Canis lupus familiaris: one gene and its partner. The protein of the gene in region 1 interacts with the protein of each later gene in a biochemical or structural test. Links are inferred from orthologs where the notes say so. Each region holds a gene or a part of one and is shown in the gene's direction. Other genes may lie near its edges.

Region 1 (3,809 bases):
CCACACCCAGTGTGAAGCCCAGTGTGGGGCTTGAACTCACAACCCTGAGATAAAGACCTGAGCCAAAATCAAGAATCAGAGGCTTAACTGACTGGGCCATTCAGGTGTCCCTCTCCCCCCCCCTTTTTTTAAATTATGATTAAGAACTGTGAGAGAAGCTTTGTGAAACTATCTTGACTATTAATTGCATTTTACTTCATTCTGATTTTTTTGTAATCTATTATTTTTTTTGTTAATTTTTTGTCTTTTTTGTTAATTCCATGCCTCATTAGTATGAACCTACAGTCCCAAAAATATTGTTTAAGGTACATACATACATACCTGTACGTATAAGTTAACCTAATTACAAGATGTTTGTATTGATCTATAGCTTAATTGGCTTAGTGTGGACTTCAATAATTGGAAAGACTGGGAAGATGATTCAGATGAAGACATGTCTAATTTTGATCGTTTCTCTGAGGTAAGTTCCTATAAGCGCATTTTACCACCTCTCAGTACATTTCTATGTGAATTTAATTTGGTTTTAAAGCACCTTAGTGGTACTTAAGACCTAATTTTTTTTTTACTTTAAAGGTCATTCTGCAGCAAAACAAAGTAAGATCTTAACAATGATCATTTTATCCTAAAGTTTAACATTCTTTTATAATTCTTTTAAAAATTAGTGGTAAGTTCTAAACTTGTATACAGACAAAAATAAACCGTATTGTCAATGCAAATATAACTAGTTTTGGGGGGTGGGGTGTTGGTTTGTTTGTTTTTACAGCCAGTTGTTATTCTAGTATTGAAACGGATTTTTTTTTTTTAATTTTATTTATTTAGAGAGAGAGAGAGAGAGAGAGAGAGAATGGCTGGGACACAGGCAGAGGGAGAAGCAGGCTCCATGCAGGGAACCCGACATGGGACGCGATCCCCGGATCTCCAGGATCACACCCCAGGCTGTAGGCGGTGCTAAACCGCTGCGCCACCGGGGCTGCCCTGATTTTTTTTTTTTTTTTTTTTGAGCATGGATTACTTTGCATTTTAGAGCCATGTAATATGAATATAAACTTTAAACAGAAAAATGGTAGTGAGATGTGCATGATGAGTGGTGTGTAAGGATGTTTTAGTTCGCAAAATTAAGGATTAAAGTAAGCCTTTTTTTTCCAAGATGTCATCCAAATACATATTGCATGGCCAAAGGGGGGGGAAAATCATTGATCTCCCTTTAGGTAGACTAAGCCTTATGAAATAAATGTACTGCAGTAAACCTGATTAGAAAAACAGAATATTGGGATCCCTGGGTGGTGCAGCAGTTTGGCGCCTGCCTTTGGCCCAGGGTGCGATCCTGGAGACCTGGGATCGAATCCCACATCGGGCTCCCGGTGCATGGGAGCCTGCTTCTCCCTCTGCCTATGTCGCTGCCTCTCTCTCTCTTTCTCTCTCTGTGACTATCATAAATAAATAAATTAAAAAAAATTAAAAAAAATAAAGATTTAAAAAAAAAAAAAGAAAAACAGAATATTAGGTTGTAAGTTGAAGATGAGATCCATTTCATGGCTATTTGAAATTTTAATTGACTAGGTTTTGTTTATAACCCTTCTTTGAAAATTAAGGGCTAAAAGGAATGAATTCCCAGTGTCATGTATGCAACTGCTTATTCAACATCTCACATGGTTCTGGCACCTTGATTTCAATTTAAAGAGGAAAGGGAAGATTGGAAGATTCTCTTTATGCTATTCGTATTTCTTACCTGTAGTAATTGGTGCCACCATTTTACCCAGCTCTGCATGTCACAGCTTAACACTGTTTTCTCTTACTGTCTCCATCTAGTATAACATTAACAGCTATCTTTTGTTCTGTTTTTTGTTTTACATCTTAAATAGTTCTTGAATGTATTCAGTTCATTCTATCTCTATTACCATTGTATCCTCAACAGCTAGCATTGTGTTTGGCACATTTTGAGCATTTTTGCTGCTCAAAGAAACTTAACCGAAGTGTTCAACAGTACTGTAGGGAAACTTTATTAGTTATTCATATTATTCAACACCAGGTTGCCCAGAACTTTTATACTGAGCAATTTGAGGATTAGGTAGCTTTTAAAGGGCCCTTCTAACTCTAAAGTGGAGGTAAGCATAGATTTTTGAAGCTTTAATTTTTTGTTTATAAAGTTATGTATGATTATGTGAATATTTTAAAATTTAAAAAATTAACAGAAAAGTTGTCCTTGAAGAGAGAAGTCCCTCCCCATCTGTTTTTAGTTTGATTTTTTGTATCTTTTTAAATAATATACTGCTTGATTTGTGATCAGAAATTAAAGATAGTAAAAAAAAAAAGAAAAGAAATTAAAGATAGTAAGTTAGTATTTCATGTAAGTATGCTGTGTTGTTAGTCCCAACATCTTGTGAGTATACAAGAGTACATACACAAGGGTATTATTCTCCATAGTATATGTACCTTTTATTTCAAGAATTATGTTTATTTTCTGTTTTTAACATGTTACTGCTGTTCAGTCTTTGATTTAGGATTCAGGCCTTTTATACAATGTAATCATCCTGAGGGTCTTTATAATACACATGCCACTTAGCTTAAGATATACAAAGCTTTACAACTACAAATGAATCCCATTCTTTTCCTTAGGCACCAGAGGTAAGCACTCTTCAGGATTTCGGTGTTTAATTTCTGCATCATAGATAAATATTTGCTAGATAAATTTTACTAACTTCACTTTTCTTCAATGAGAACTTAGTCTTCCCTATAAGTTGTCAAGATTTTATGTAATTACCTATAAAAATCTACCTTTTCCAGCAAGGAAGGTACTTAACATTTGTTTTGCTTTTTTTATTGGTGGAAATCTATGACAGACTTAAGGTGTATTCTGGAGCTTGCAACCTCTAATAACTAGGGCTTAATTTAACATCATTTTTAAAACTAATTTTTACACTTCAAATAGATGATGAACAACATGGGTGGTGATGAGGATGTAGATTTACCAGAAGTAGATGGAGCAGATGATGTAAGTCTATAAATTCTTTTCTCTGTTTACTTAAATAGTAAGAAACAATGTATTTATAGGTTGTTTTATATAGATTCAGGATTGCTTTTTTGCCACTTCTTGTTGGGTTTTTTCCCTAAGAAATACAGGGAAAAGCAATTTTGAAATGTGCTCATTTTTGAAGGATAGGTATCTACTAGGGAATAGATGTCCCATGGACCATTCTTCAAAGGACCAGATTTCAAGAGAATCACTGCATGGAGACATCATATGCCGTATTCAATTAAGAATTAGCTTAGAGATTATCTTGACTAAGTTAAACAGGTTTTGCAGCAGGATTGATCAGAAACCATAAAGTAGATGGACCTTTCTGAATCTTTAAGGATAAACTGGATCACTTTTCTCAACATTCCCCCTGTTGGCATCCTGCTAACATCTTCAAGAAAGTTGTTCGGTACAGTTTGAAAAATATGTAGACAACTCAATAGCTAGGATTGGAATTCATTTTGTCTTGTATCAGTCCAGTAGTTTTCACAGTGAGCTGTTTTCCTCTTCCATTGAATGCCAAGGGAAAAGAGAAACCATTTTATACCAAGATAAGTCAGGAATTTAAGGGATGAGCACCAATTCCCATCAAAAGGCACACACTGTACAGGAAGGTAGATCCTCAGCAATTATGTCTCTTCATCTTAAGTAAACCTGTTAAGTTCAGTGATTATATTCATAAGCTTAATATAACCACATATCTTTACTACTTTAGTGAAAGTACAGTGCTTCAGCTTTTTAAGGCAAACTGTTCAGTTAGTAGAGGAATGTTTGATCAACTTGGTAACTTTTG
Region 2 (4,320 bases), on another chromosome or scaffold:
CCCGTGATGGGCCCTGAGCTCCCTAAAGGCCCACGACAACCCCCATCAGCCACTCTGCAGCCTGAACAGCTGGGCTGCACCGTACCCCAGGCCTTCCCTCCTCGCCTCAGGTTCAGGGGGGCAGACACTCGGGTTGTGTGCCCCCACAGGGGTCTCCTCCAGGATCCTGGGGTGCACCCAACATGCCCCTTCCTTGGGAGCCTCACTATCCTCCACCTGTACCTCTGTCTGTCCCGCCCTGGCCCTGTGGCAGAGCACCGCACACATGACCCACACCTGCGGGCGGTGGGGGGTGTCTGCGGAGCCCCCCAGTCCTGCTGACTGCACCCGGTGTGTTACAGCGAGAACGAGGCCTTGTGGCGGGAAGTGGCCAGCCTGCGGCAGAAGCACGCCCAGCAGCAGAAAGTCGTCAACAAGGTGCGCGGCGGGCCCCGGGGGGTGCCTGCAGGTCCCGTCCTCGGCTGGGCTGACTGTGCCTTTCCCCCGTAGCTCATCCAGTTCCTCATCTCCTTGGTGCAGTCGAACCGGATCCTGGGGGTGAAGAGGAAAATGTGAGGCCCAGGGGCGGGGGGGCTGCTCCTCAGCTCGGGGCCCCCGGCCACCCTGTGTCCTCTTGGCTGAGGCCTGGGTGGCCGAGGCCCGGGGGAGGCACCTGACCCCGCCCCTTCCCCCCACAGCCCCCTGATGCTGAACGACGGCAGTTCGGCACATTCCATGCCCAAGTATGGCCGGCAGTACTCCCTGGAGCACATTCACGGCTCGGGCCCCTACTCGGTGAGCACCGGGTGCAGCAGGCCTGGCCCGGGGGGGCGCGGGCAGGCGCCGCTGCGGCTCCTGCCACATAGGTCACCTCCCTTTGATGGCAGGCTCCTTCCCCGGCCTACAGCAGCTCCAGCCTCTACTCCCCAGATGCCGTCGCCAGCTCCGGACCCATCATCTCCGACATCACTGAACTGGCCCCCAGCAGTCCCTTGGCCTCCCCGGGCGGAAGCGTAGACGAGAGGTGGGGGCCTCGTCGTCCTCCCACCCGTCGGGAGAGGGGTGGGCTCACAGAGCCAGCTCCTGATGTGTGCGCCCCCACACGCAGGCCACTGTCCAGCAGCCCCGTGGTACGCGTCAAGGAGGAGCCCCCCAGCCCTCCTCGGAGCCCCCGGGTGGAGGAGGCCAGTCCTGGACACCAGTCCTCAGTCGTGGAGATACCCCTGTCCCCCACCGCCCTCATTGACTCCATCCTGCGGGAAAGCGAGCCTGCGCCCGCCGCCCCAACCACACCCCTCACGGATGCAGGGGGCCGCCGCCCCTCACCCTCGCCCCCGCCTGCCCCGGCCCCTGAGAAGTGCCTCAGCGTAGCCTGCCTGGACAAGTGAGTGCCCCCCACCCACCTCCACCACAGCCTCTGGAAGCTGGGACTGTCCTGGAGGGGCTGCTACAGGGTGGTCGTCAGGCGGCGGGCACACGGTCGCTGGAGGACGCACCAGCAGACCCGGCCCTGAGCTCAGAGCTTGCTGGGCCCACGTCCCCAGGGTCTCAGGAGCCAAGGGGGTGTGGCCCCGCAGGCCTGTGACACCTGCTCTCTGAGCCACTCTGGCTGCTGCTGTCACCCCTTCCTGCAACAGGCCACTGCACCTGTCCTGCTGCCCAGCAGGGGGCTTGCCCCAGAGGCCAGGCAAGCAAGGGCGGGGGGGCACGGAGTCCACCTGGCCCCCACCTGCAATCGGGGGGCTCTTGTCTTTGTATCTTGCAGTTTGGCTCGCGCTCCACAGATGTCTGGGGTCGCCCGCCTCTTCCCCTGCCCCTCCTCTCTGCATGGCCGAGTCCAGCCAGGGTTAGCGCCGTCCCCACTGGGGAGGGAGGAGGGCTCCGCCAGAGCTCAGGCCCCTCCCCAGCCTCGGACCAGACCCTGGCCTGGCCATGAGCACTCGGCCCTGCCCGGTGAACAGGCGCCGGGCCCTCTGCAGCGGGGGGCAACCCCCACCCCAGGCTCTGGGGCCTGAGCCAGTGGCCCAGGTCGCCGACTGACCAGGATGGGCCTCCCAGCCTGGCAGCTGCCACCGGTGCAGCCGAGGCCCTGGCTGCTGTGTGCACTGGCTTCCTCGCAGGGCGGGGAGGGGTGAGGCGGGGCCCCAAGGACACCACCCAGAGTCGGCCTGGTGGCCGCCCGTCTAGTGGCCCAGGGCCTTCTTGGCCACAGCCTCCTGACCCAGGCCTCTTTCCCAGCATGCACGGGGGCACACACACGCGTGCACACGTCGGACCAGCCCTCCGCACCCTGCTGCAGTTCCCCCTCCCTGTCCCTACCGCCTTCCAATGGAAAGGCAAGACCTTGTCAAGCCTTGAAAACTGCCCCCAGCCCGTCCTGCACACTGAACCCCTCCTGCCCCCTCCCCACCGCCACGTTGGCCCTGTGTGAAGTGCCTCCAGAGGCCTTACTGGGCCTCACGGTGACATGCCGGTGGCGTGGCCTGAGCTACCGTCCCCGCCGTGGCCAAGGCTCTGGCCCTTTTCCCGCACACGCTGTGCAGCGGGGCCCCCCCGGGAGCCCAGGCAGGGTGGGGCGTCGCTACGGGCAGCCCCTCTCGGATGGCGGGTGTGAGCACCGGCAGGAAGGCATCCGGCTGGGGGTGCCTAGAGCCCCACTTTACCTGCCCCACCCACTCCGGCTAGGACGGAGCTCAGTGACCACCTGGACGCCATGGACTCCAACCTGGACAACCTGCAGACCATGCTGACGAGCCACGGCTTCAGCGTGGACACGAGCGCCCTACTGGACGTGAGTCCCTCCCCTCCCCTCCCCTCCCCTCCCCGCGGGCTGCGGGCTCCCAGTGTGGCCTGACTGCCCTCCCTCCCCGCAGCTGTTCAGCCCCTCCGTGACGGTGCCCGACATGAGCCTGCCCGACCTTGACAGCAGCCTGGCCAGCGTGCGTAGGCAGGGAGGGGGGCAGGGGCCTGGGGCGGGGTGGGCCGGCAAGCCGGAGCCTCACTCTGCCCCCTGCTCCCCAGCAGATCCAGGAGCTCCTCTCCCCCCAGGAGCCACCCAGGCCTCTTGAGGCAGAGAACAGCAGCCCTGACTCAGGTGAGCCAAGCCCCGAGCCCATGCCCGCCCCGCCCGTGCCCCCCACACCTGTGCCCTGACCCAGCCCCCACCCCCAGGGAAGCAGCTGGTGCACTACACGGCGCAACCCCTGTTCTTGGTGGACCCGGGCTCCGTGGATATGGGAAGCAGCGACCTGCCCGTGCTCTTCGAGCTGGGGGAGGGTTCCTACTTCTCCGAGGGGGACGACTACACAGATGACCCCACCATCTCCCTGCTGACGGGCTCTGAGCCCCCGAAAGCCAAGGACCCCACTGTCTCCTAGAGGCCCCAGGAGGAAGGCTGGCCAAGGGCTAGGCGTGGACCCCGGTCGGCAGCGAGGGCCACAGCCCTGTGTGCCTGGCTGGCTTGAGGCTTTACAGCCACCTTGGACTGACCAGCACTGCGGGGATTCAGTCAGGATTGGATTTTGGGTTTTTACACGAGAGTCCCCCTCACCCCTTCAATAGAGATATACACACACACGGACAGACGGACGGACGAGACTGGCAGAGACCTATAAAGGACAGACTGTACGCTGTGGCCTCCCGCGTGTTTCCTCCCGCCACCCCCAGGTGGGGAGGGGGTGGGGGGCTTGGCCGTGGTGGCCGCCTTGGAGGGAAGGCAGATGTCCAGAGCAGAGCTGTGCGCACCTCACTCCACAGGAACCGTGTGGCTCACAATTCTTTATTAAAGGATGGGACGGGGGCAGTGGGATGGACCCGCTGGAACACCCTCCCCACAAGGGGACCGGGGCGGGGGGGTGAAGAGCGTGGACGGGCACGCCATGTGTATCTTCCTGGCACAGCCGTCCCTGCTCTTAACGCGGTCTCAAGGCACTGGGCTGATTTGGGAGCAGGGGAGGGGTGGGGGGCAACAGACCAGAGCAGCCCACCTGATGCTCTGTGCCCCCGGCGTCCGTCCCCTACCCCCCATCCTCAGCACGGCCCAGGGTGACAGCTACCAGGAGGCAGGGGCTGCAGGGCTCTTGAGGCCACCACCCAGGCACCTTGTCACACCCCTGCCTTGGCCGCAGGGTCTTTAGTAGAGAGAGCCCACCGGCCGAGGTAGGCTGTCCCCACCTCTCAGGCTTGGCAGGTGGTCGGGCCTGCGAGCGGGGTATCCTGAGGCTGTGTGAACTGCCCTGCCCAGGGTGGGGAGAGCTGAGGGGACAGGCCCCAAACCAGAGGAGCTGAGGGTTCCTCTGGGGTCCTGGCAGGGGCAGAGGATGCGTGTGTGCTCCTGAGGGA

What was found.
Region 2: the proteins of PTGES3 (region 1) and HSF1 form a complex in vitro, tested with the Homo sapiens proteins (2 studies listed by BioGRID). The link is inferred for Canis lupus familiaris from reciprocal best matches to the Homo sapiens genes PTGES3 and HSF1.

The regions. Positions count from the first base shown.
Region 1 is NC_049231.1:1,239,720-1,243,528, reverse strand, and holds part of PTGES3 (prostaglandin E synthase 3), read left to right. Parts: intron 1-370; coding exon 371-460; intron 461-2,929; coding exon 2,930-2,992; intron 2,993-3,809. UniProt on the Homo sapiens protein: Cytosolic prostaglandin synthase that catalyzes the oxidoreduction of prostaglandin endoperoxide H2 (PGH2) to prostaglandin E2 (PGE2).
Region 2 is NC_049234.1:38,494,991-38,499,310, forward strand, and holds the end of HSF1 (heat shock factor protein 1), read left to right. Parts: intron 1-341; coding exon 342-417; intron 418-489; coding exon 490-551; intron 552-677; coding exon 678-774; intron 775-866; coding exon 867-1,003; intron 1,004-1,087; coding exon 1,088-1,363; intron 1,364-1,744; coding exon 1,745-1,825; intron 1,826-2,664; coding exon 2,665-2,770; intron 2,771-2,852; coding exon 2,853-2,918; intron 2,919-3,000; coding exon 3,001-3,073; intron 3,074-3,150; coding exon 3,151-3,356; 3' UTR 3,357-3,606; downstream 3,607-4,320. UniProt on the Homo sapiens protein: Functions as a stress-inducible and DNA-binding transcription factor that plays a central role in the transcriptional activation of the heat shock response (HSR), leading to the expression of a large class of molecular chaperones, heat shock proteins (HSPs), that protect cells from cellular insult damage.